Sus scrofa: one gene and its partners. The protein of the gene in region 4 binds, or shares a complex with, the protein of the main gene of each other region. Links are inferred from orthologs where the notes say so. Each region holds a gene or a part of one and is shown on either strand. Other genes may lie near its edges.

The links.
Region 1: PRPF4 (region 4) and TXNL4A share a complex: the UniProt entries of both Homo sapiens proteins name them as parts of the precatalytic spliceosome. The link is inferred for Sus scrofa from reciprocal best matches to the Homo sapiens genes PRPF4 and TXNL4A.
Region 2: PRPF4 (region 4) and PRPF31 share a complex: the UniProt entries of both Homo sapiens proteins name them as parts of the U4/U6-U5 tri-snRNP complex. The link is inferred for Sus scrofa from reciprocal best matches to the Homo sapiens genes PRPF4 and PRPF31.
Region 3: PRPF4 (region 4) and LSM2 share a complex: the UniProt entries of both Homo sapiens proteins name them as parts of the precatalytic spliceosome. The link is inferred for Sus scrofa from reciprocal best matches to the Homo sapiens genes PRPF4 and LSM2.
Region 5: PRPF4 (region 4) and SNRPD1 share a complex: the UniProt entries of both Homo sapiens proteins name them as parts of the U4/U6-U5 tri-snRNP complex. The link is inferred for Sus scrofa from reciprocal best matches to the Homo sapiens genes PRPF4 and SNRPD1.
Region 6: PRPF4 (region 4) and PRPF6 share a complex: the UniProt entries of both Homo sapiens proteins name them as parts of the U4/U6-U5 tri-snRNP complex. The link is inferred for Sus scrofa from reciprocal best matches to the Homo sapiens genes PRPF4 and PRPF6.
Region 7: PRPF4 (region 4) and SNRPD3 share a complex: the UniProt entries of both Homo sapiens proteins name them as parts of the U4/U6-U5 tri-snRNP complex. The link is inferred for Sus scrofa from reciprocal best matches to the Homo sapiens genes PRPF4 and SNRPD3.

The regions. Positions count from the first base shown.
Region 1 is NC_010448.4:127,977,889-127,981,112, reverse strand, and holds part of TXNL4A (thioredoxin-like protein 4A), read left to right. Parts: intron 1-340; coding exon 341-444; intron 445-3,224. UniProt on the Homo sapiens protein: Plays a role in pre-mRNA splicing as component of the U5 snRNP and U4/U6-U5 tri-snRNP complexes that are involved in spliceosome assembly, and as component of the precatalytic spliceosome (spliceosome B complex).
Region 2 is NC_010448.4:55,998,048-56,001,507, reverse strand, and holds part of PRPF31 (U4/U6 small nuclear ribonucleoprotein Prp31), read left to right. Parts: intron 1-894; coding exon 895-1,052; intron 1,053-2,297; coding exon 2,298-2,387; intron 2,388-3,460. UniProt on the Homo sapiens protein: Involved in pre-mRNA splicing as component of the spliceosome. Required for the assembly of the U4/U5/U6 tri-snRNP complex, one of the building blocks of the spliceosome.
Region 3 is NC_010449.5:23,905,724-23,909,889, forward strand, and holds the start of LSM2 (U6 snRNA-associated Sm-like protein LSm2), read right to left. Parts: upstream 2,801-4,166; 5' UTR 2,575-2,800; coding exon 2,572-2,574; intron 1,963-2,571; coding exon 1,895-1,962; intron 1-1,894. UniProt on the Homo sapiens protein: Plays a role in pre-mRNA splicing as component of the U4/U6-U5 tri-snRNP complex that is involved in spliceosome assembly, and as component of the precatalytic spliceosome (spliceosome B complex).
Region 4 is NC_010443.5:253,912,758-253,916,257, forward strand, and holds part of PRPF4 (U4/U6 small nuclear ribonucleoprotein Prp4), read left to right. Parts: intron 1-751; coding exon 752-839; intron 840-1,258; coding exon 1,259-1,338; intron 1,339-1,511; coding exon 1,512-1,605; intron 1,606-2,445; coding exon 2,446-2,540; intron 2,541-3,500. UniProt on the Homo sapiens protein: Plays a role in pre-mRNA splicing as component of the U4/U6-U5 tri-snRNP complex that is involved in spliceosome assembly, and as component of the precatalytic spliceosome (spliceosome B complex).
Region 5 is NC_010448.4:106,804,701-106,808,200, forward strand, and holds part of SNRPD1 (small nuclear ribonucleoprotein Sm D1), read left to right. Parts: intron 1-2,878; coding exon 2,879-3,070; intron 3,071-3,500. UniProt on the Homo sapiens protein: Plays a role in pre-mRNA splicing as a core component of the spliceosomal U1, U2, U4 and U5 small nuclear ribonucleoproteins (snRNPs), the building blocks of the spliceosome.
Region 6 is NC_010459.5:62,850,009-62,853,508, forward strand, and holds part of PRPF6 (pre-mRNA-processing factor 6), read left to right. Parts: intron 1-1,042; coding exon 1,043-1,162; intron 1,163-1,399; coding exon 1,400-1,576; intron 1,577-1,869; coding exon 1,870-2,003; intron 2,004-2,579; coding exon 2,580-2,671; intron 2,672-3,500. UniProt on the Homo sapiens protein: Involved in pre-mRNA splicing as component of the U4/U6-U5 tri-snRNP complex, one of the building blocks of the spliceosome.
Region 7 is NC_010456.5:49,584,118-49,588,286, forward strand, and holds the start of SNRPD3 (small nuclear ribonucleoprotein Sm D3), read left to right. Parts: upstream 1-1,369; 5' UTR 1,370-1,767; intron 1,768-1,800; exon of another isoform or gene 1,801-1,929; intron 1,930-2,756; exon of another isoform or gene 2,757-2,811; intron 2,812-3,436; 5' UTR 3,437-3,454; coding exon 3,455-3,580; intron 3,581-4,169. Other genes in the region: protein GUCD1, read right to left, coding at 728-770. UniProt on the Homo sapiens protein: Plays a role in pre-mRNA splicing as a core component of the spliceosomal U1, U2, U4 and U5 small nuclear ribonucleoproteins (snRNPs), the building blocks of the spliceosome.

The DNA of each region.
Region 1 (3,224 bases), on a different chromosome or scaffold from region 4:
GCCGCTCCCGCGGCATATGGAGGTTCCCAGGCTAGGGGTTGAATCGGAGCTGTAGCCACCGGCCTACGCCAGAGCCACAGCAACGCGGGATCTGAGCCACGTCTGCAACCTACACCACAGCTCACGGCAACGCCGGATCGTTAACCCACTGAGCAAGGGCAGGGACCGAACCCGCATCCTCATGGTTCCTAGTCGGATTCGTTAACCACTGCGCCACGACGGGAACTCCCTATACACAAATTCTTTTTGTTTTTGTTTTTAAATGTGCTTTTATGGAATAAAAAATGATTTGTCATTTTACATTTTGTTTTTTTTTCTCCCCAACCTCTTTTCCTTTTAGGTTAAAAATTTTGCAGTTATTTATCTTGTGGATATCACAGAAGTACCTGACTTCAACAAAATGTATGAATTATATGATCCGTGTACTGTCATGTTTTTCTTCAGGTATGTTCTCTTAAAGTTGTTATTTAAATTGAATAGATGGTCTGGAAGTTTAATGTAATCAAGATATCTTTAGATTCTTTTCTTTAGGAGGAGGTCAGTTATGCACTCATATCATAATATGGTTTGTGTCACCAGGCAATCAGTGTGATCTTTTAAATAATTTTCAAAGTAGCAATTACAGATTTAGCATTTACAGTAACACATTACCCTTTTGAAATAACTGCCCAGAAAACTAAATGAAGTGTAATTAAGTGGAAGATGTTCTTATTGACATTTCAGATACCTTTAAGTATAATATGTTGATGAAAAAATGTTTAAAATAACTGACTTTTTAAATATGATATCAATGACTTTATTTAGTGTCCTTTTGTGATAGCCAGAAGGAAAACCTTTACTTAATTACTTTGCTTAGAAATACAAGATTATTTTATCAGCTGAAAAATTCTGTTGCTGGAGTTCCTTTTGTGGCCCAGTAGTAATGAACCCAACTGCAAGTTCAGTCCGTGGCCCAACTCATTGGGGTAAACATCTGGCGTTGCCATGAGCTGTGGTATAGGTCACGGACGTGACTTGGATCTGGCACTGCTTGTGGCTGCGGCATAGGCCAGTAGCTGTAGCTCCAGTTCTATCCCTGACCTCACTGTAGCTCCAGTTCTGTCCCTGGCCTGGGAACTTCCATGTGCTGTGGGTGCAGCCCTAAAAACAAAACAAGACAAAAACTCTTTTGTGGACTTTAATCAGTCAGTTACTGACTCAAGGAATAGAATTTCCCTAATCGCCTTAAATTAATTTGTATCCATGATTTACAAACTTTGCATGAAAGGAGAACATAGAGTGGCTACTGGTTAGGTACATGGGTGTCCAATGCAGATGCAAATACGTTTGATTGGGGTTTATAAAGTTAAGTAGCATCACAAGTGAAAAAAAATTCTCTTGTGGACATTTAATTTGGAAAGAATCACCATTTCACAGTTTTTACTTGTCAAAATTTCTTACTGTTGGAGTACCCATTGTGGCTTAGCAGAAATGAATCTGACTAGTTTACATGAGGATGCGGGTTCAATCCCTGGCCTCACTCAGTGGGTCAGGGATCTGGCATTGCCGTGAGCTGTAGTGTAGGTCACAGATGCAGCTGGAATCCTGCGTTGCTATGGCTATGGTGGTGTACGCCAGCAACTGTAGCTCCAATTCGATCCCTAGCCTGGGAACTTCCATATGTCTAGGGGGTGGCCCTAAAAAGAAAAAAAATTCTTAGTTTATTGTTACTACAAAAGTTAGTAAATAGCAACATAAACATTAGGCCATACTCCAGAGGTAGAGCTTCACAATTAGAGAAGTTCTGGGTAGAGTATATAGGGTGTAGATTAGCTTTCTGTTCTGTTTGACAGTGTGCCCAAACTTGGTGGCTGAAAACAACACCATTTATGAGCCCAAGGTCTGTAGGTCACAGTCCAGGCAGGCTCACTGGGTTCTGTCTTGGGGTCTCAAGGCCATAGTCACAGGCTGGGCTTTTAGCCAGGCAGTCAGTCAGGGGGGAATCTACTTGGCTCTTGGGGACTATTGGCTGAATCCAGTTTCCAGTTCTGGGTGGACATGGGAATGAGGTGTCTTTCCACCTGGGCCCCTCTGTGCTCCTAGAGGCCCCTCCAGCTTTGAAGCCCTCAACCAAGAGTTGAGTCATTTTTACACAGTTGCTCTAACTTCCTGTTCTGCTTTCAGAGGGCACACTTGATGGATTAGACTGTATAATTCTGGGGCATCTCCTTATTTTAAAGTCAACTGGTGGGTACTTGTAGGGATACCTGCAGAATTCCCTTTGAAGTGCAGTGTAACTGATCGGAGGCATGATGTCATCTCATAGTCCTGAGGATTAGAGCAGGAAATAGCAGAGGTTATTTTAGGATTCTGCCTACTGCAGTCTGCCCTTTGGCTCACAAAGATTCAGATCCCTCTCGTATGCAAAACTGAGTGTGGATGAGGCTTCTCTGGGTGACCCATTAAGCCCAGCTCCTGGACACTCTTTCTCTGTGGCCCCTCCCCAGGATACAGTGTGGGACAGGCATAGGGAACAGTCTGGGTTCACCAGGAGCAGGGCTTTGATGCAGGGCTAGGATCATCCTCTTGGTCCAATGCCTGCCCTCGGGAGGGTTCTCCCCAGCCTTTTCTGCCTTTTTCATGAATGGCATTTCAGCTGGCTTATTTTTCAGCCTGCTTCCTGCCAGCAGCATGAAGTTGTAGTGCTTCCCCTCGGCCTGAGCAGGTAGAGTCTGTCCTGGGTGCCAGAGCTTGCTGGTTGCTTCCTGGGAGAAGATCCTGTCCTTTGAACATTCTGACCTTTAGGTCTTTTCCAGGTTTCAGTAGGTTATGTGGCTTCTGTGTCAAGAGTTCAGCACCCATTTCTGGATTTCAGCATCTTTTGCTATTTGGAGAGGCTGAGAATTTGTTGTTGTTGTTGTTGACAGTTTTTACAACCAGTTTCTCTCTTCTTTTACTATAAGGCCTAGGAAACCAGGCAGTGCCTTCAAGACTTTACTTCTGTGTTCTCAGCTCTTATCCACATGCATCGCTTACAAGTGTCACAGACATTCTGCCACTGTGTAGCAAAGATCCCTTTCCTCCACTCCCTGGAACATGTCCCTAACTCCTTGCAAGTCCATATTTCTACTAACAGGCTATTTAAGGCAATCCAGGCCTTTTCTGTTATGCTTCTCAAAGTTCTCCAAAAGTCCTCCAGGTGGGAATATGGGTGCCGCCTTAGATCCTGCTTCTCACTGCATGTG
Region 2 (3,460 bases), on a different chromosome or scaffold from region 4:
GGGTGTGCCAGCTTCCTGTTGCTGCTGTAACAGACGACCACAGACCAAGAGGCTTAAACAGTGCAGTTTACCACCCGACCGTTGTGGAGGTCACACGTCCACCAGGGGCCTCACCGGGCTAAAATGAAGGGGTGGGGAAGGAGGGCTGGTCCTGGGGTGGGGGGCGGGGAGGGAGGAAGCCGCGTTCCCTGCCGTTTCCAGCGTCCAGAGGCGCCTGCCCTCCTTGGGGGGGGGGGGGCTCCTCCATCCTGGCCATCCCTTCTGACTCCGCCCTTCTCTCCTGCCGTCGAGGACCCTGCGGTGACACTGAGCCGCCCAGGTCCTGCAGGACAGTCTCCCCTTCTCAGGGCCCTGCCGAGTCCCCTTGGCTGTATTCAGGCACAACTTCTGGGGCTTGCGATGTCAGTGACCGTGGGGCGCTGTTCTGCTCCCGCACAGGCGTTGGAGGCTTGTTTCGAGGATTCACGTGTTGGATGAGACAGTGGGCCACATCCTCAGAAACCCCCAGCACAGGGCCCCGCCCACAGTGGTCCCCATCAGAGGGAGAACGTGTTACCCACCGCTCCTCTTCCCATCCCCCACGCCTGCAGACGCTCCAGGGGACCTAGATGCCGTGCCACACTGGGCCGTGTGGGCACGTGCTCCCGGTGTGGTGAAAACCGCTCTCAAGCACAGAGCGGGGGGGGGGAGGCCCCCCGCAGCTTTGCAGGCTCTGGGGTCAGGTTCCTGTTGGGCCAGTTGCTTCACTTCTCTAAGCCACCTCTGAATGCCCCCTGGAGTGGGACACCTGGCCCTCCCTGGCGGGGCCGCCTAGGCTCCAACACAGTGACCCCCGCACGTGCACACACACCCCCCCGCCCCCGCCTGCCTTCTGACTCCCGCCCTCCTGCGCAGGTGTGGCCGGCGGCCTGACCAACCTCTCCAAGATGCCCGCCTGCAACATCATGCTGCTCGGCGCCCAGCGCAAGACGCTGTCCGGCTTCTCGTCCACCTCGGTGCTGCCACACACCGGCTACATCTACCACAGCGACATCGTGCAGTCCCTGCCCCCGGTGAGCCCCCAGCCCCACCGCACCTGCCATGCCCCACAGGGCAGCTCCCCAGGGCCCGCGGCTCCCCTGTGACCCCGGTGCATGGAACCCTAGAGGATGCCCCACATGGGTTAAGGATGCCACAGCTGATGCGCCAGTTTGGGATGCTGGCCGCGCCACTTCGCAGCTGGGCCAGAGGCCTGAGTGCTGAGCCTTGGCCTCCCTGTCTGGAAGCTGGGGGAGTGAACCTGCTTCAGGGGCCGCGACGTGGACTCAGTCATACGAGAAACACTCTGAGGGCAGGCCTCACACATCAAAAGTGATGGAAGCGTGAGATCGGGGTTCCCAAGGCCATGGTCAGGTTCAGTGACCCCCAGAAGGGCTTGCAGAGCTCACCTCGAGCTGATCCAGGTTCATCACGTCGTGGGAACCCAGACGAACACCAGCCAGGGAGAAGCGTGAGGGCAGGGTCTGGAAGCACCAAACAGGCACCACATGAGACAGGACACAGTCGCCACCAGGACGCCCAGCGGGGCCTCAGGCCTCCGTCTCTACCTGGCTCAGGCAGAGATGGGGTTGCCTGGTGAGAGACCCCACCCTGAAACACAGGGCTGCACGCTAGCTTAGCCAGGGCCCCCACCAGGACGCCCAGGAGCCAGGGCCAAGGCCAGGCCTCTTCGGGCAGGGTTCAGTTCTCCGCTGCGCTGGCTAACTGGGTTCAGTTCTCCTATCGTTGCTAACTGGGACTTGGGGGCTCATGTATCATCTTGGTATTTCTCAGAGCTCCAGCCCCTGCCTTTCAGGTACACTGATGGATTTTTTAAAAATATTTTAAAATACATTTTGGCTGCTCCTGCAGCATGCTGAAGTTCCTGGGCCAGGGATCAAACCCATGCCACAGCAGCTGCCCCAGGATTCTTAACCCACTGCACCACAGCGGCTACACTGGGTCCTGAACCCACTGCACCACAAGGCAACTCTTATTTGATTTTATTCATTTATTTATTTTAATTGTAACATGTTTTCTCAGTATTTCATCGTCTTGCCTCTGTGTTAATGCATCTCTGTTGTCTGGGGAGATGGGAAGGTGGGTGAGAGGAGACACCGACCGCAACATTTTGCTATTGTTACACGTTATTCCAGTAACGACAGCAGTGAAGACAAAAGCTGGTGTGGGAAACGGAGCCCATGGCGGCAGGAGTTCTGGAAACGGCTGTGATCTGATTGTATCTTCACGCTGACTCTGCCTCTCTGTCGTTGCTCCAGGATCTCCGGCGGAAAGCGGCCCGGCTGGTGGCCGCCAAGTGCACGCTGGCAGCGCGCGTGGACAGTTTCCACGAGAGTACGGAGGGGAAGGTGAGGGGCAGCCGGCATCTGTCTGCATGTCTGCGGTCTGGTGGGGGTGGGGGGAGCTGTGATCAGAGGACCCCCACCCCCACCCCGTCTGCGCTGTCCTGACGGTGGAGGTGGGAGTGTTTGTGCCCCCCCACCCCCAGGTCCACTTCCCCTGCCCCTGCTGTACCAGTTTCCCGTCACTGCTCAGCCTAGTGGCCTAAAGCGTTGCAGGGCTACTGACTTAAAGTTCCCTGGGTCCGGAGCCCGTGGTGGTTCACTGGGCCGAGGTCACGGTGTCGGCAGAATTGTGTCCTCGGAGGGTCGCTCCGCCGCCTTTTCCAGCTTCCACAGGCCACCTGCGCCCCTCGGCTCGTGGCACTTGCCTCCCTCTCCGAAGCCAGTGCGGCACCTTCCCGCCTCTGCCTGACTCTGCATCTGTCTTCACGCCTCCGACTCCTTTGAGGTCCCAGGGATTACACTGGGCCCCTGGGATCCCCCAGGATCGGACCATCTAGGGCACCTCCCCATTTCAGGATCCTTAACTTAATCACATGGCCGCTCATAAAATCAAATAAGAGTTCCCTTGTGGTGCAGTGGGTTAAGGATCCTGGGGTGGCTGCTGTGGCTGGGGTTTGATCCCTGGCCCGGGCGAGGTGACGGTTCATAAGGACCAGAGAGTGGCTCACAGACACCTTTGGGGGTGGGGGAGGCTTGCTTGGCCTACGACATGGGGGTCCGTGCCCTCCACCAGCACTGTCACCCTTCAGTACCCATTCCAGCAACCTCGCCTCCTTGGCACACTTGTTCTGCGAGGGTAGGTGTTTCTGTCTTGTGCACCTTCGTCTCCCAGGCTCCCGGCCTGGCACAGCGTTGAGGGATCTGGTCTCGCTCTCTCTGACCCCCGGTCTGGATGCCGGGGTCCAGCAGTGCACCCGCAGACAGAAGCCCTGCCCCGCGACGTTTCCATTCCCGTTGGAGGCGGGGCAAGGAGACGCAGGCCGATCTGCTGTGTGTCCAGTGGTGCTGAGCAGAGGCTGGGGAGGTTGGACTGACTAACCACATGTCAGGGAGGGCTTCTCCAAGGAGGTGAGGGT
Region 3 (4,166 bases), on a different chromosome or scaffold from region 4:
CAGCAGCTGCAGCTCCAATTTGACCCCTAGCCTGGGAACTTCCATATGCTGCACATGTGTCCCTAAACCAAGAAAACAAAACAAAACAAAACAAAAAAAACCCACAAAAAAATCCGACTACATCGGCTAGGGTCCTTACAGAGGTGTGAGTCTGATCTTCAGCTTGGTACAGGAGATTAAAGGATCTAGCTCAGATTGAATCCCTAGCCTGGGAACTTCCATTTGTCACAGGTGCAGCCATTTCAAAAAAAAAAAAGCACCTTTCAGACATTAAGAACGTTAAAGATCAACTTTATTGAGATGGAAGATATCCACAACATAGTGTCAGGTGAAAAAGCAAGTTTTACAATTGCACAGAGTATGACCCTGTTCTTAATTAAACAACAACAACAAAAAAGGATGAGGGGCAGGCAGAAAGGGATTTAAGTTCTGGCTTTGTCCTTTACTAGTTGTATAGACTTAACCAAGTTTCCTAACCTAGTCAAGCTTCAGTTTCCTCATGTAAAACAGCAACAACAGTATATGTCATGTAGAGGTGTTCAGAGAATTAAATGAGTTAATAAATGAGTATTCAGAGTAGTGCTTAGTCTATAGGAGAGCCTCAAATGTTAGCTTTTGTTTTCCCCTTCAGAACACATTAGGCACCTACTCTATACCAGGGCTGTGCTAGACACAGGTACACAGTGGGCGCTTAAACACATCTTGGCCCTATAGAAGACCAGCCCTAAACAGTAAATACATTTCTATGAAATCACAGTTTGAGAAGCACCCACTAGAAAGGAAAGACTCTATATGATAGAAGTGTCTATGGCCTAGAAGAACCAGGAAAGTGCAAGGATACAGCATTTAATCCACGTCCTAAAAGATGATTTGAAGTTAATGATACAAGGGGACGAGGGATGTAAAAACAGTACAGACACAAGGGACTGCACTGGTCATCTGTTTATCTTTTATACTGTCTACAACAAAAGGGCAATTATACCACATAGATGATTCTGCAACAGCTTTCCATATTAATACAACTCATTTCCATGTGGCAGCTGCCTTTAATGGAAATACCAAAATCTAACCCATTCCCTATTTTTTTTTTTTTTTGGTCTTTTTTTGCTATTTCTTTGGGCTGCTCCCGCAGCATATGGAGGTTCCCAGGCTAGGGGTCCAATTGGAGTTGTAGCCACTGGCCTACACCAGAGCCACAGCAACTCGGGATCCGAGCCACGTCTGCAACCTACACCACAGCTCACGGCAACGCCGGATCGTTAACCCACTGAGCAAGGGCAAGGACCAAACCCGCAACCTCATGGTTCTTAGTCAGATTCGTTAACCACTGCTCCACGACGGGAACTCCCCATTCCCTATTTTATTTTATTTTTTTGGCTGTGCCTGTGGCATGTGAAAAGTCCCAGGCCAGGGATGGAACCCGTGCCACAGCAATGACAACGCCACATCCTCAACCTGCTGCACCACAAGGGTACTCCATAACCCATTCCCTATTAATGGCTCCCCTCCACCAATTTTTGACTATTAAAACAAACAAACAAAAAAAAAACTACCAAAATTTTTGTACATAAATCTTTACTTCTGGAGTCAATACTTACATTTCTAGAATTTGGGTCAAAGGACCATGTGATTTCATCAGAAAAAACTTTTATTAAAAAAAAGTGATTGATGCCTCTGCCCCCTGACTTCTTTCTAGTACTTACATTTTTCTTTGGATCTTCTTCCCATAAAGATAAAACTCTGCAGCTAATCTGTCAGTTTAAGGCACAAGTCATTTCTTTCGTTTGTCTCTCTCCCATCTTGCCCAGCCCTCAAATACTTGTCAAATTAAAGAGGTTGTTCCGGAGGGCTGGGCACATCCACCCCCTACAGACTTGTCGGAACAGGTACCTACCTCAGGTCATTCTTGAGTTCCACGACCACATCCTTGCCCACAAGGGACTTGAAAAAGGAATAGAAGAGCTATTGGGCGAGAGGGGGAAAAAACATCATATGGGAAGGGACTTGGGCAGAGGCGTGTTCCCCGGCCAGTATTATGAGATACTGGTCCTGGGGATCCCCGCCGCATCTCTCTGGCAGTTCTCAAAACTTAAGAGGAAAGAATACTCGGAAAAACGGCTGGAGCCCCGGTGATTACTACCTCGAGCGCCTGACCTAAAGCCCGGGAGAGAGGCTCTGGCCCGCACGCCTCGGGCTCGGCTCTCAGTGGACCACCTCTCCCGGCGTCCTGCCCCCACTACCCAGTGAAGGGTACCAAGTGTAACACCCGCACCCTCTCGGGGCCTGGTCTGTCAGGGAAGTGCTCCTTGAGGTCTAGCTTTTCCCTCTCCTGCTGTTCCCGCCGACTCAAACAAATAAGACCCATTCGTTTTGAGGTCTCTCCCCAACGAACCTGATTTGCAGGAAGTAAGGAGGGAGAGAAAAATCCCAGGGCCCAACGTCAGCCCAAAGGAACAAAGCTCCCGGAGGGCCCCCCCGCCCCGCCGCCGCCCCGCGACCCCGTCTCCGTCCCCAACCATCCCAACGGTCGCGCTCCCCGAGGGCGCCCCCTTGTGACATCACGGTACCTACCATTGTGCTTGCACCGCGGGATGCCCGCCTGACCGGGAAGGCGAGGGCCGGGTACCGCGGTCCGGAGGCCGGGCGGGAACCGGAGCACAAGGCCGCGCGCGAGGCGGGGCGGGGTTGCGCAGGGGCGGCGGGAAGCGCCGCGGAAAGCTCAGGGTGACGGAGGAGAGCGGACCGTGCGCTCCGGCTACAAGCAGAGCGGGCGGGGTAGGACCGAGGGGACGCGAAAGCCAGGGAAGGGGCGGGGCTTCCCGCCTTCCGACTTCCTCCCCAAGCGGCCGGCTCCCACTGCGCAGGCTCGGGCTCTGACGGCTCCCCCGGCTTTCAAGTTTTCTTCCTTTTAAAAATAGTGTGGTTCCAGCATGATTTGCTCATACCCTGAAGACACTTACTATTGCAAACTGGGCGTTTGTGAAAACCCATGATGATTTGTACACTTTTCTATGTCTCTTACACTTTGATAAAAGTAAAAATGTTTGAGTTCCCAAGATCAGGAACCTGCACACAAATCCGATTTTGTCAAAGGTTCCCGATAAACTTATTTCTCCTGAGAACCCAACCTCAGTCCACATTTCTTTTACGCTTTTGCCTAGGGCTTTCCTGTAAGGGGCTGAGTAAAGCAAAACCGACTGACTCAGGGATAGAAATACCCATTCTGATATTTCACTTCCAAACATTGCCCTCTCAAACACAAAGGGACACAAATTCACAGTTACATGTATTTCTATACTCATGTCCCCAAAGCATTATCAGTATGCGATGACGCAAAAGGTGAAATTTTTTTTTCAAGGAATGAGATCCAAATAAATTCTCCATTTTCTCCTTTTTCTTTTTTGGTCTTTTTAGGGCCGCACCCACAGCATATGGAGGTTCCCCGGCTAGGGGTCCAATGGAGCTATAGCTGCCGGCCTAGGACAGAGCCACAGCAACACAGGATCCTAGCCGCGTCTACGACCTACACTACAACTCATCTCATGGCAATAATGGATTCTCAACCCACTGAGCGAGGCCAAGGATTGAACCCACAACCTTATGGTTCCTAGTCGGATTTGTTTCTGCTGTGCCACGATGGGAACTCCTAAATTCTCTGTTTCTAATCTTGCAAAAAAGCATCCATCTGGGAGTTCCCATTGTGGCACAGTGTAAATTAACCTATTATCCATGAGGATGCAGGTTCAATGCCTCACTCTGAGTCAGGGATCCGGTATTGCCATGAGCTGTGGTGTAGGATGCAGAGGGTGGCTCAGATCCCTTGTGGCTGTGGCTGTGGCCTAGGCTGGCAGCTACAGCTCTGCTTGGACCCCTAGCCTGGGAATTTTCATATGCCACAGGTGCAGCCCTAAAAAGCAAAACAAACAAACAAACAAACAAACAAAACAAAACAAAACAAAAAACCTCACTACCCATTTGTTAGGAGTTTGTTGTAGAAATATTTTCAGCATGTAAAGGATGTAATAAGGGACCCTGTGAGTGACAGACCCCACTGATAAGTAACACCAGGACATCAAGCAGAAGTTTGTACCTCTGAACCCTAAGCACCTAAATCAGTCTATCCCTGAATATAAGCAGTAACTATTGTAACTCTACTAATAACTATT
Region 4 (3,500 bases):
GCCTAGGCTGTTTACTCCTTCTATGATTCCCCTTAGCAGCCTGGGCTTACCACTATCATAACACTTAATGTAATGTACTATGGTTCCCCAGTACTTTCTGTATATCCTGTATCCTGTCCACCCTCACCTCCACCCCCGCCATGCTACTTGAAATCAAGAACTGTTTCCTAGTCTTTTTTTTTTTTCTTGGCTTTTTAGGGCTGCACCCACGACATATGGAAGTTCCCAGGCTAGGGGTCAAACCAGAGCTGCAGCTGCTGGCCTGCACCACAGCCACAGCAACTCAGATTCCACGCTGCATCTGCGACCTACACCACAGCTCACGGCAACGCCAGATCCTTAATCCACTGAGCAAGGCCAGGGATCAAACCCGTGTTCTCATGGATACTAGTCGGATTCATTACTGCTGAGCCATGATGGGAACTTCCGCTCAGTCATTTTTTATACTCAGCACCTGAGTCAGTATCCAGCACATTGTGGCGTTGAGTGATTCACAGCCCAAGTGGTAGCAGTGGTGGGGCTGGCTGACAACTAAGTTGAACAGGGTGATTGCTTTTAGTTCAATTTAGGGACTCTGCAAATCAAGACCTCTGAGTGGAAGAAATCACACAGGAAGTTCAGGCATCACCACGTGACTCCTAAAGAAGGTGGCCTGGGTTTGAATGGTGAGAGAGTAGGGCTGACTTGTCCTCTTCTTAGAGAGACTTTTCACAATCTCACCTCTATTTAAATCTGATCTTTTTGGTAACAGGTTAAGAAACATCCTCTCAGTGGTCGGTACTGATGCCTTAAAAAAGACCAAAAAAGATGATGAGAAATCCAAGAAGTCCAAAGAAGAGGTAAATATGTCTTCGACTTCATAGTATAAACATGCAGTGAACAAGGGGGTAGTGCTCTCGTCTTCTGCTTTCGGTGGTTTACTTTGCTAGATTAGGGGACGGGGAGTCGAAGACTCTACTGCTCAGAAAGAGTTGTTGGCAGTAGTTTGTGGTTCCTGTGTAAGTCTAAATGGAGGTAAGTCAGTTTCCCATTCAAGACAGAACCATAGCATTCTTGGTGTCGCTTTTAATAAGGAACCAGAAACCATCCAATGAGAGTTCATAGAAAGAAACACAGGAGAAGGCACATGTACCTGATTTCGTCCTATTCCTGAACCAATTCACCTTTTTTCTGGGCAATTATAATAGGAAATTGACAGCAATAAAAGGGGTAGGCATTGCTTGAGACTTGACATTTCTACTCTTAATTTAACTTTCAGTATCAGCAAACCTGGTACCATGAAGGACCAAACAGCCTGAAGGTTGCTAGACTGTGGATTGCTAATTATTCACTGCCCAGGTAAGGAGAGCCTTGAGAGGGAGGAAAGAGCATACTTTTTCTTACTTCCTCTCAAAGACTGAGAATCTGCTTTATAATTACTGTGGTTGTTCATTAAAGTTGAGTGGTAGAGAGACTTGTGTGGACCCTTGTTTCCAACCCCTTTGCTCAGGGTGATAATGCTTCTGTCACAGGGCAATGAAACGCTTGGAAGAGGCCCGTCTTCATAAAGAGATTCCTGAGACAACTAGAACCTCCCAGATGCAAGAGCTGCACAAGTCTCTCCGGGTGAGATGCTCTCAGCGATTGTCCAATGTCTTGAAGATTCTTAAATATTTATTAGATGTTCTACTTTGGCCTGTCTCTAGCAAGTGAAGCCAGCTATGCTTATCCTTCTCTGCTTACACTGTTGCTGTTTGCAAGAAGCTATCAGTTAAGGTGGCAGGAAGCTAGTGTCCTTTGTACTCTGCAGAGTCCTGTGCTTCTACTCTTCAGTTCTCCGTTTTAATACATTAGACTGTACTTTAGATCTTGCCATGGCTTTCCTGTTTTTTGGGGGGGTTTGGTTTTTGGGGTGGTTTTTTTTTTTTTGTCATTTTAGGGCTGCACCTGTGGCACATGGAGGTTCCCAGGCTAGAGGTCTAATTGGAGCTACAGCTGCTGGCCTATGCCACAGCCACGGCAATGCCAGATTCGAGCCGAGCCTGCAAGTCTGCACCACAGCTCATGGCAAGTCGGATCCCTAACCCACTGAGCAAGGCCAGGGATTGAACCTGCAACCTCATGGTTCCTGGTCGGATTCGTTTCCACTGTACCACGATGGGAACTTCGGCTTTCCTGTTTATATTTAGCTGACAGAAGCTAGTGATACTAAGACTGTAGAAGACAGCTGGATGGAGTTTCCATTCATTCATTGATACAAATGTCTCCTACCAAAAAAGGGTGGAGTAATCTACGAGTGGGTTTGAATTGGAAAGGTGTTGGGAGGGTTTTTTTGTTGGGGGTGGAGGCACAATGGGGAGGGTTGGGGTGTGTGTATGTGTATGTGTGTGATTTTTTTTTTACTGGTGGAAAATCCAAGAAGGTCTGAGATTAGCCTGATAATGATCCTTTGTTTGTCTTTTTAAGTCTTTGAATAATTTCTGCAGTCAAATTGGGGATGATCGGCCTATTTCCTACTGTCACTTTAGTCCCAATTCCAAAATGCTGGCCACAGCTTGTTGGTAAGTCCCATTTTACAGTGCCATTTTTTTTCTAAGTGGGGTTCGGGGAAAAAAATCAGCATTGGTCTTACAAAGCCATTTCTATACCATTTGCCTCTGCTTCTCATGGCCACACCACGCTCGAGAGGTCAGTGCTCATTCATTGTATTTTACAGCAGAGCCTTCAATTAGCAGTTCTTAGTGTTCCCAAGGGACCCCAGAGATCCCTGACATGTCTGTCGTGTCTTGGTACTTGCATCATTTTGGAGCAGGTATATAAGTGAGCTTATAGACTGGCTACTCTGCCCATCTCGATACAGCTTTTCTTTTTTAGTTGTGTGACTTCATCTCTGTAATTCAGTTTCCTTATTGGTAAAGGTGAGATCATGTTTGTAAAGCATTTTGCCGTGATAGTGCCTAGTAGGTGGTAAGGACTCAGTAAACACGGATTATTATTTTTATCTTCATTTTGTTTTCCATTTGCCACTACATGTGCAGAAAACTCTTAGAGAGTGATAACTTTGTTGTTTTGTTTTATTTAGTTATTTAGTTAGTTCTTCTTGTGGGAGGGGAAACGTCTTTTATATTATACACACAGGAGCTCCTTGACTAGGCAGAAATTGAGACTGTGGTTCAGGAGAAAGCCGAGGACCTACACAATTCCCTCCACCCCTCCACGCCTCAGTTACCTTCATTATAAAGTAGAAATGATCATTGTCATAGGTCTGTCATAAGGATCATTTGAGGTGATAGATATGAAAATAATGTATTGGAAATTTTCCATAATAAAGCCTTTTTTTTTTTTTTTTTTTGCTTTTTAGGGCTAAACCTATGGCATATGGAGGTTGCCAGGCTAGGGGTCCAGTCAGAGCTACAGTTGCCAACACCACAGCCACAGCAACGCAGGATCTGAGCTGCATCTGTGACCTACACCACAGCTCAGGGCAACACCGGATCCTTAACCCACTGAGCGAGGCCAGG
Region 5 (3,500 bases), on a different chromosome or scaffold from region 4:
GCATCTTCGACCTACACCACAGCTCATGGCAACGCCAGATCCTTAACCCACTGAGTGAGGCTAGGGATTGTACCTGCAACCTCATGGTTCCTAGTCAGATTCATTTCCTCTGCAGCATAACGGGAACTTCTAGTTTTCTATTTAAAGCCACTGTGAATCTTCATTTACAGCTTTAAGTAATTCTTTAACATGTAGATTCAGCATCTGAGTAAAGAAGAGATATACATAGTATTAAACTGATACGTGTGGGTTTCCTAGAACTTTGCAACACCAGGTGCCATGAAAGGAAATCAGTCTAGTGTAAGATTTTCATACATTCTGATCAAATTTGGGGGAATGTAATTTCTGTCCTGTTAAAATTCCATAATGCTGTCTTTTGAGCTCTCTGCTATACAGCATGAGAGAAGCAGTGTTCTTCCTGCTTTTTAGGAAAATCTAGTGATGGGAAAAGGCACAAAAACAATGCAATGCAAAGTTTGCCTTACATACGGTAAAAACTTAATAAATCATGTCCCAGGAAGAAAATTTCACTAAATTGGGGAGCAAAGCCTAGTAAAAATCCAATTCCCTTCCCCACTGTCAACTTCAGTTACAAATTTCTGTATTCTATATGAATGTGTATTTTAGTCCTCCTAATAGGGGTAATCATACTGTCTACCATAGGAACATGGAGGATGAAACTAAAATGCATTAGTGTGCAGTTCCTGGAACCCAGAAAGAGGCTCATAAATCTTATTGTTTTCCCTCTCCTTATTGTATCAAGTACCCCCAATGAGGTGGACTTTATCAAAAGTATATTAATTTGGGAGTTCCCATAGTGGCTCAGCAGAAACAAATCTGACTGATACCCATGAGGATGCAGGATCAGTCCCTGGCCTTGCTCAGTGGGTTAAGGATCCGGCATTGCTGTGGTGTAGGTTGCAGATCTGGCTCTAATCCCATGTGGCTGTGGCTGTAGTTGGCCTACAGCTCTGATTTGACCCCTAGTTTGGGAACCTCCATATGCCACAGGTGCTGCCCTAAAAAGACCAAAAAGAAAAGGTATATTAATTAGGGGAATAAAAATTAAAGGAGTCTCCACTGTGGCACAGTGGGTTAAGAACCCAGGTCCAGTGGTTTGAGTCACTACAGAGGCACAGGTTTGATCCTCAGCCTGGCACGGGATCTGGTGTTGCTGTGGGTGCCTCACCCATGGCATATGGAGGCTCCCAGGCTAGGGGTTGAATCGGAGCTGTAGCCACTGGCCTACACCACAGCCACAGCAGCACTGGATCCTTAACCCACTGAGCAAAGCCAGGGATTGAACTTGTGTCCTCCTGAATACTAGTCAGATACGTTTCTGCTGAGTCACAACCAGAACTCCGAGGGTGTGGCCATTTTTAAAAAAGTATATCCATTTTGGGAAAGAAGAGGACAGAGGATTTGTAGTAGTAAGTTCAGTAAATTTGAGGTGGATGTTGGGAGGGTTCATATTTTCTGGCCTTTCTAGGGACAGAAATTAATTAGATCTTTAGTTATCCCATTTATTGAAACATGCTGATAAAGGCTCCAATAATCAAGTATTCCTACTCTAATGCCATATATTCATCCTAGAAAACAATTGCTTTCATTTTGTAAAATCTCATACTAAAAATAATGGCTTAAAGGGAAAAACTGTTTGAGGCAGACCACTCAAAACGTGTGCTACTTAGTAATCAAAGTATTAAAACAATAGCATCCTTTGTGGGTTTTTGGGGTTTCTTTTTTGTCTTTTTTTGCCTTTTCTAGGGCCACACAGCATATGGAGGTTCCCAGGCTAGGGGTCTAATTGGAGCTGTAGCCACCAGCCTACGCCACAGCCACAGCAGCTCAGGATCCGATCCACATCTGCGACATACACCACAGCTCACGGCACCGCCAGATTCTTAACCCACTGAGTGAGGCCAGGGATCAAACCCACAATCTCTTGGTTCCTAGTCGTGTTTGTTAACCACTGAACCACAATGGGAACTCTGAATCCTTTATTTTAAAGCACAGTTTAAAAGACACAAGACATGTCACTTTCCTGCTAATAAGGACAGATAGCACAGTACTTAATAGGGTGTTTTTTTTTCCTTTTTAGGGCCAAACCTGAGGCATATGGAAGTTTCCAGGCTAGGGGTCTAATCAGAGCTACAGCTGAGAGCCACAGCCACAGCAATGCCAGACCCCAGTTGCATTTGTGAACTGCGGCACAGCTCACAACAACACCAGATCCTTAACCCACTGAGTGGGGCCAGAGATTGAACTCAAATCCTCACGGATACTAGTCAGGTTTGTTTCCGCTGAGCCACAGCGGGAACTCCCTAGGGCTGTCTTAAACAGAAATGAAGACAGCTTGGTGGAATGGGGTGTAAGGAAGTTAAGGAGACAGAGAACCACACAGTAAGCATTGCCTATGCTGATATGGGAGGAGGATACATAGGGATTGTCAGAATAAGGCATGTGTACCGGTCTGGGTTTCTTCATGGCTAGCTGTAAGCACACATAAGTGCAAAACAACAAGTTAGGGAAAATCTAGTGAAGGAAAGATTTCTGATTTATACTGTCATCATTACCAGTTGTACTCAATTGTACTAATTGTACTATTATTGTATCATAGAAACTTGCGCTGTAGCAGAACCAGTACTCTTCTGTAACAGGCTACTGATTGAAGCTTGATAGTGTATTTTTTTGGCCAAGGCTCCAGCATGCGGAAGTTCCTGGGCCAGGGATTGAACCTGAGCTGCACTTGCAGCCTACACTGCAGCTGTGGCACCACTGGATCCTTAACCTGCTATACCACAAGGGAAATTCCTTTGGCTTGGTAGATTAAGTGATTGCCTTCATTATACTAATAATTGCCCTTTTTTCTCTCTAGGTGTAGATGTCAGCATGAATACACATCTTAAAGCTGTGAAAATGACCCTGAAGAACAGAGAACCAGTACAGCTGGAAACACTGAGTATTCGAGGCAATAACATTCGATATTTTATTCTGCCGGACAGTTTACCTCTGGATACACTACTTGTGGATGTTGAACCGAAGGTGAAATCTAAGAAGAGGGAAGCTGGTAAGTTTAAAGGATTACGAACATTTTTGTATATGGTGTGTTTGTACCCTAATACACTATTCACAAAACATGTTTATATTTGCAGACAACACAGGTTGTTTGGTTGGTTTTAATTGCCTGTACTTGCTGAAAGTACCTATAGTGTTTTATAGTTCCTGGTGTTGCTATTCCTTTTTTTTTTTTTTTTTTTTAGTTTTTGTCTTTTTAGGGCCGCACTCGCGACATATGGAGGTTCCCAGGCTAGGGGTCTAATTGGAGCTACAGCTGCCGGCCTACTCCACAGCCACAGCAACACCAGATCCGAGCCTCATCTGAGACCTACACCATAGCTCATGGCAATGCCAGATCCTTAACCTGCTGAGCAAGGCCAGAGAATCGAACCGGCAACCTCATGGTTCCTAGTTGGATTTGTTTCTACTGCGCCACAATG
Region 6 (3,500 bases), on a different chromosome or scaffold from region 4:
GTGACCACGGGCTCACTCTTCCAGAACACAGCACGGGGAGGCGGGCGGGGTGGAGCAGCAGCTGGGGCACACTTCCCACGGGAGGGCATAGGGACCACCACTCTCCCGCGTGACGTTCGATTGCCCAGCGCCTGCAGGAGGAAGGCCTGTGCCCCATGCCCGGAGCACAGGGCGTGTGCCTCGGGGTCGCACGGGGGCCTCCTGCTGCTGCCAGGCCCGTGGGCGGGTGGAGTTGCGTTCAGACTGCTGCAGCCGGCCAGGCTTGTTGGACGTTTTTTTTTTAAGGGCTTGATTTTTGTCGTCACGTGTGATATCCTAATACTTTATGACAACACAGTATCAGGCAGCGGTTTGCAACACAGGTTTTTACAAACCGTAGCGTGCTGTGCACATGTCGATGTGTCGTCACCCAGGCTAACGTGGTAAAGTTGGCGTGTCCCTGAGTGAACGCTGAGGGAAGGGACTGGCCTGGACGGCACCTCCTGCCCTCAGCTGCCTGTTGAGGGCGCTCAGTGCTGCAGGTGCTCAGCTGCCTGTCTCCCGCCAGGCGCTCTCCTCTCCTCACCTGTCCCTGTGGGGCTGCTGGGCAGGCCTGTGGCCCGGCCAGGCCGAGTGTGGCCAGCAGGTGGCTGTGTTTGCTGGAGGCTGAGGGCACCGCCCACGTGTCTGCGGGACTGGGTTGCACATGGCTGGGTCCCAACCCTGGGGGCCTCCACGCCATGCCAAAGCCCCAGGCGTCCTGGCGTCCGGCCCGCGTCCTCACACCAGGGGTGTGGGGTGGATCGCAGGCGGGTTGCAAGCGGGGGTGGGTCCTGGGGGAGATGGCCCTGCCGGCAGCCACGGAGGCTGCGTCTGTCCCCGTGGGCACGCGGCCTCGTTTGTGGGCAGGTCGGCGTTTGGGGGCCGGGCGCTGCCTGGTGGACCCTCTGGCTTGGATCAGAGGGTCCTGCTGCAGAGTGAGGCCTGGTCCGGCCCCCAGGCTGGCTGCTTTCGCTGCAGAGTCCCCCTGCTCCCTTTGCGACACTGCTGTGCTTGCCCCCAGGCCAACCCCAACAGCGAGGAGATCTGGCTGGCGGCCGTGAAGCTGGAATCCGAGAACAACGAGTATGAGCGGGCCCGCCGGCTGCTGGCCAAGGCGCGGAGCAGCGCGCCCACAGCCCGGGTGAGCAGAGCTGCCCCACCGCCCGCTTCGGGGGCGGGAGGGGGGACGGAGGCCGCAGGCACGCGAAGCTGGCTCGGCGCGCTCAGCTTTGCAGTGCAGTCGTGTGTGTGGCCCGGCCCGTTCCAAGGGGCAGGAGCCCGCTTACAGCAGCGCGTGCGTGCGGCCGGGTGGACAGCTCGCGGGGTGAGCCGTGGGCGGGCACGCCCGGGGAGGTGCTGCCTGACGCCGTCCCCCCAGGTGTTCATGAAGTCTGTGAAGCTGGAGTGGGTGCTGGGGAACCTGGCGGCCGCCCAGGAGCTGTGCGAGGAGGCGCTGAAGCACTACGAGGACTTCCCCAAGCTCTGGATGATGAAGGGGCAGATCGAGGAGCAGGAGGAGCTCATGGAGAAGGCGCGGGAAGCCTACAACCAGGGGGTGAGCCTCGGGCCGGCTGCCGACAGAGCGCCTCCCCTCGGGGGCGGGGGCGGCGGCCCTTGCGGAGCCCCAGCTGGAGGAGGGGTGGGCTCAGGCCCTGCACACGCGGCTGTGCTGCGCCAGCCGAGTGGCGGGCTGCGGCCCACGTCACGCCCAGGCTGCAGAGTCCACACCCGCGTGCGCGGGCGCCCCCCGGGGCCTGAAGTGGCTGGCTCTCTGGGCACAGGCAGCCCTGATCCCGGCCCCTTCAGACACCAGCTGAGCCCTGTCCCGCTGGTGTCTGTTGGCCGCAGTTGAAGAAATGTCCCCACTCCACACCCCTGTGGCTTTTGCTCTCCCGGCTGGAGGAGAAGATCGGGCAGCTGACCCGAGCCCGGGCCATCTTGGAGAAGTCCCGCTTGAAGAACCCGAAGAACCCCGGCCTGTGGTGAGCGTCCCGTGCCCCTCAGCAAGCTGCCCGAGGCCTCGGTGCTGCGTGTCCCGCTCAGGCCTCGCGGGGCAGTGGCGGGCGCTCGCCTGTGGAGTCCTGGCCCTGCCTCAGGCGGGCTCAGCCGGGCCCGGAGAGAGCGGACGCGGTGCAGCGTGTGCCCTGGGGCGGGGGGGCGTCGGGGGCGGATGACGCCGGGAACGGGCTCCTCGGAAGAGGCGACTCTGCCTTGAGGGAGGACAGGAGGCTGCCCGTGAGGGTGGCCCTCTGTCCCTGGGAACGTGTGCGCAGGGGCCGAGGCGGGCCTCGGTGACAGCACACCAGTGTGTCCTCCCCGCTTGTTCGTTCTTGCACCTCGGTGGGGGTGCCAGGTCCCCACCTCCAGGGCAGCTGCCACTGAGCTTGGTCGTGGGGACCCCAGCGTCTCCCTTCCCTGGTGGACGAGCCCCACTTGGCAGAGCGGGGAAGCGCAGCTGCTGTGGCTTCCCGGGAGCTTCCAGAACTGCGTCTGGGCTTGTGGTCGGGCTGCTGCTGCTTGACCCCCCCCCCCGCTGCCGCCGCCGGCTTCTCTCTCAGGCTGGAGTCCGTGAGGCTGGAGTACCGTGCGGGCCTGAAGAACATCGCCAGCACGCTGATGGCCAAGGCGCTGCAGGAGTGCCCCAGCTCCGGTGAGCTCCTGGGGTGCGGGCTGCAGGGGCCGCAGGCGGTGTCTGTGCTCTGCGTCCGTCTTTGCGTCAGAAGTTTCCGTAAACTCGGTCTTTGAGGTGATTGAACGAAAGTCTCAGTGTGGGGAGTTTGGCCTCATGTTCCACCACCGTTTCTTTGCCGTTTAGGATTTAATGTTCACTATTTTATCACAGATAGGTTAATGCACATGCAGTATATAAACTGATTTGGAGCAAAAAAGGCGACACAGAAATCACCTGTAAGCCTAGTACTCGGCGCTTCCTGCTCTTAGCTTGTTCGTGTTTTTACAAAGTCAATCATACTGTGTGTTTAGTTTTGTGCCTTTCTTTTTTTTTTTTTTTTTAATCTTTTTGATTTTTCTAGGGCCGCACCTACAGCATATGGAGGTTCCCAGACTAAGGGTCTAATCGGAGCTACAGCTGGCGGCCTGCACCACAGTCACAGCAACGCCAGATCCGAGCCGCGTCTGCAACCTACACCACAGCTCATGGCAACGCCGGATCCTTCACCCACTGAGCAAGGCCAGGGATCAAACCCACAACCTCATCGTTCCTAGTCGGATTCTTTAACCATTGCTCCACAATGGGAACTCCTAGATTTGTTCCTTTTTTTATTTTTCATTTATTTATTTATTTTTTTCATCTTTTTGCCTTTTCTTGGGCCACTCCCGTGGCATGTGGAGTTTCCCAGGCTAGGGATCGAATCAGAGCTGTAGCCACCGGCCTACGCCACAGCCACAGCAACGCCAGATCTGAGCCGCATCTGTGACCTACACCACAGCTCACGGCAACACCGGCTCCTTAACCCACT
Region 7 (4,169 bases), on a different chromosome or scaffold from region 4:
CCCCGGGTAACTCCAGACCCTACTCCTTGCTGCAGTCACAGTCAGTATCCTGCTGATTCCTTAGGGTCAGGCTCCCACATGCTCTTGACTTCTCCCAGGAGCTGGGACCTCACTTTAGAGTTTACCAGCACTTCCTTTCTCACCAACCCTGTGCCTTAACCAGAGCAGGAATTACTGCTCTCTCCCTCCCCAATTTAGCAAAGCAAACCGAGGTTCACACACAACCTGAGTTTTGGTTTCTGCCTGCAAGGGAACACAGGCCACCTGGGACATAAGGAACTAGAGTGAAGAACTCTAGCAAGACAAAACACTGAGTCTGGGAGGCCGGGGGGGGGGGCCTCCCCCATTGCTCTATGCTCCCTGCCAGTTCCCTGCCCTTCTAGGCCTCAGTTCCCCGAGGGGACAGGATCTCTCACGGCAGCTTCAGCAGGACTTTTCGCTTCTGGGGAAGCTGCCGCCCCAGCCTCTCAACCAGGACCCTCCCACCAAGACCGCCATCAGAGCTGCCTGGGGTTCCAGCCCTGGGAGTATCAGGAAACCCCAGCAGACCGCGGTTGGCGCTGCGGGAGCCAAGGCGGGGTGTACACCTGGCCAGACTTCACTCAAAGCTCTACAGCCTAGGACATGGCGGCCGTCGGTCCAAGGTCACGCGGCCGGACCCTGACCGCTGCTAGGGTGGGCCCCCCTGTTCCCCTGGATGAGGGCTAAGCCCTCAGGGAGCACTGACCGGGCTCGAGCGGCGGCCCCGATGCCTCCCCCTCCGTCCTCATGACGTGGGCGGCGCGGGGCTCCCATGGCCCCGGCCCGGCGCCGGCTGCAGCTTCGGCCTCGTCTGGGGCGGGAGCGGGGCCGCTAGTCCCCGGGTTCCTGGGCCGCCACCGCCACTGCCAGCACGGTGGGGAGAAGGGGAGGCGGCAGCTGGGCCGCCCCAAGCCCCGCCCCGGCCCTTCCAGGCCTTGGCCCGCCCCGTCCGCCCTGGGCCCCGCCCCGGCCCGCCCCCGCCTCCTCTGGCCCTCAAGCCCTCAGGCTCCCAGGCTCCTGTCTCCGCTGGTCCCGGCCGCTCAAAGTGTCAGCTCCCAGGGTTGCCGCCCCGACCTCCGAGGCCTGGCGCGGACGCGCAGCCCTTCCCGCCCCGCTCCCCGGAAGCCCCGCCCAGGCCCGGGAGTTCCACGAACGCGGGCTCCCCAGAGCCCCCGGCAAGCTCCGCCTCTGCCAGGTCCTACTCCTCCGCCAGCCTCGGGGCCGGGAGACCCAGCCCCACCTCGACTCTCTTTGGAGGGACGGCCGAGGGCCGGCACCCGCTCTGCTCCTGTCTCCCTCTCCGCTCAGGGGTCCCTTTACCTGGCACTGCCGGGTTCCGAAGGTTAAATTGTGAGGGGAGGTCCTGGCCCTCGGCCCCACCGCTGCCTCCCCCGATCCCCGCCTCGCCGTCCAGCCCGTCGCCGGTGTGAGGTGTTTGGAAAAGCGAGTCCCTCTCTGCCCTTGCCGGCCCGAGGGTCGGTGTTTCCGGCGGCACCTGGGTCCAGTCATCAGTCTTCCGGGGCCGGAACTCTTGAACCACAGACCGAGTTTCCCAGCCGGTGGGGTGAGGTGGAAGCGAGGACGAGACCGCGCTCACCACTGGGAAAAGGAAGAGGGCGGGCCCTGCGCGAGGCATTTTGGGAACGCGTGGTATTCTGGGAGCGCGGGACCCGCCATTCGCTTGTCTCACGCTTCGCAGTCGGCAGAGTCGCGGCCGCACCGGGAAGGAGGAGGAGACCTCAGGCGGTGAGGGGAGGCTGGGGGCGGGCGTGGGGAGGCCGAGGCACTCGGAGGAGTAGAGGGTTGGAGAAGGACGCGCTGCCGAGGAGCTCCGCGGGGCTCGCCGAGGGACAGGAGCGGGAAGCCGGGCCACCAGACAGTGTCGCCTCACTAGCGCTTGGAAGTGAGGTCGTTAGCTTTTCCTTCAGTTTCCATACCTCCCCAGGCCAGTGTTTTTCGAAGCATCCAGGCAATGGTCTTGAGGTCGTTTCTGGCTAGTTGCTTCCTTCCCAAGTCCTTTGCTTCCCTGCCTCCATCCGCCCCCTCATGCTTTCTACACCGTTACACAAGCTTCTTTCAAGTTTCCCTGCATCTAAGCTGTGTTCGAACCATTTTGTAAGTGCTGCTGCCTTTCCCAGGGATAATTCCTTCCCTATAGTCCTGCCGTGGTTCTCCCATTGCGTTCAGCATAAAATCTACACTTCTGAGGCTTCTCACGAAGGGCGCCTGTCTCTTTCACTGCTCTTCCTTTTTCTCTTTATGCAGGAGATGTATTCCACCTTTCAGCTGACCATTTTGGAATTTAAAAACCGACAGCTTTCCTCTTTTAAGGTCAAGTCAGGCTTGCCTTGATTCCCTTTTTTCTCCAAGATAAGCATTTCCTGTGTGTAGCACATTATCACTTTGTGAATACTTTGATATTTTCTCTTTAACTTTGATGGTGAAGTAAATGGAGAGTCAAAGAGCACTTACTGGGTTGAATTAAATGCATGGACTCTTCTTGATTTTAATTTTCGTTCTTTTTTTTTTTTTTTTTTTTTTGCCACCCTGAGGTATATGGCGTTCCCTGGCCACGGATCAGATCCAAGCCATGGTTTCCACCTTCCTCGAAGCTGCAGCAACCCACTATGGTGGGCCAAGGATCGAACCAGTGTCCCAGGGCTCCAGAAATGCCTCAGACCACATTGCGCCACAGCTGGAGCTCCTTATTTCATTTTAATTTTATTCAATTTCAGAACTTGCAGTGGTTACTGTTTTGGACAGCTCAGGTCTACGTCCTACGTTCTCAAGGTGATGTTACCCACTGCTTTGGGTTAACAAGTACACCTGCCTTCCAACCCCCTCTGCTGCAACATAGTTATTTGATAAAGATAAAGGGACCTGTGGTAGCAGGGAGATGAGAGGCAGTCTTTTCATTCCTGTTAGCTTTCCCTCTGTCTAGCCCCCCTGTTCCTCCCCACCCAATCTTGCATCTTGTTTGCTAGATATGTTCTTCAAGCTGGGGTTAAGCTACTTTTTCAAGTTCCTTTGGGAGTTCCCTTCCTGGCTCAGTGGTTAACGAACTTGACTAGGATCCATGAGAATGTGGGTTTGCCCCCTGGCCTTGCTCAGTGGGTTAAGGGTCTGGCATTGCTGTGAGCTGTGTAATCGCAGATGTGCCTCAGATCCTGTGTTGCTGTGGCTGTGGCATAACCCAGCAGCTGTAGCCTCTATTCAACCCCTAGCCTGGGAACTTCCATATGCTGGGGGCGCAGCCCTAAAAAGCAAAAAAAATAAAGTTAAAAAAAAAAACACGCCTTTGGCATTTTTGCTGAGTGTTACAGAGTGTCCAGCCTTGAGTGAGGCTTGTGCCACATGCCTCTCAGGCCCTGAACCATGAACTCTTATCTCTCTCTCTCTCTCTCTCTCTCTGTAGAATTCTCTTCCTGCCGAGATGTCTATTGGTGTGCCGATTAAAGTCCTACATGAGGCTGAGGGGCACATTGTGACCTGTGAGACGAACACGGGAGAGGTGTACCGAGGGAAGCTCATTGAAGCCGAGGACAACATGAACTGCCAGGTATCCTGCTTTGCACATGAGCCTATTGGGGGGAGCTTGAGCCTGTGTCTTGGAGGACAGAAAGCTGGTGATTGAGGGTCTTTTTGAAGTTCTCATTCAGCAGTTACTGAGAGCTTAGTGAATGCCAGGCACTGTTCCAGATACCAGGGATGTGGGCATAGGTAAGAGCCATTTGGAATATTTAATTTTGTCCTTTGTTTCCCAACCCCATAAACCGTTTTCTCCCATATCTCGGGGCCTGTTTAAGAGAAGTAGCACAATGTTCAGTAGAACCATTAGGTTCAGGGTCGCTAGTAACTCATCCCTACTTGTTTGCCCATTGCTTTGCAGTTTGCATACCATGTGGTTTGGATACCATATGTAAATCTTCCACTTATATATGGTAGTTATTTGCCATTCTTCTTGGGGGAGGTATCTTCTTTGATTGCATTTATAGCAGCTACCCTGTGAGGTAAGAAGGTTTTGATGATAGCTTTGTCATCCATAAAATGGGAAAGATAAGATTAAAGGACTTAATTACTGTACTTACTTGCTAATAAATATTGAAGCCATTTCTTGACGTGGTGCCCTTCTGATGGCAGTACTTTGA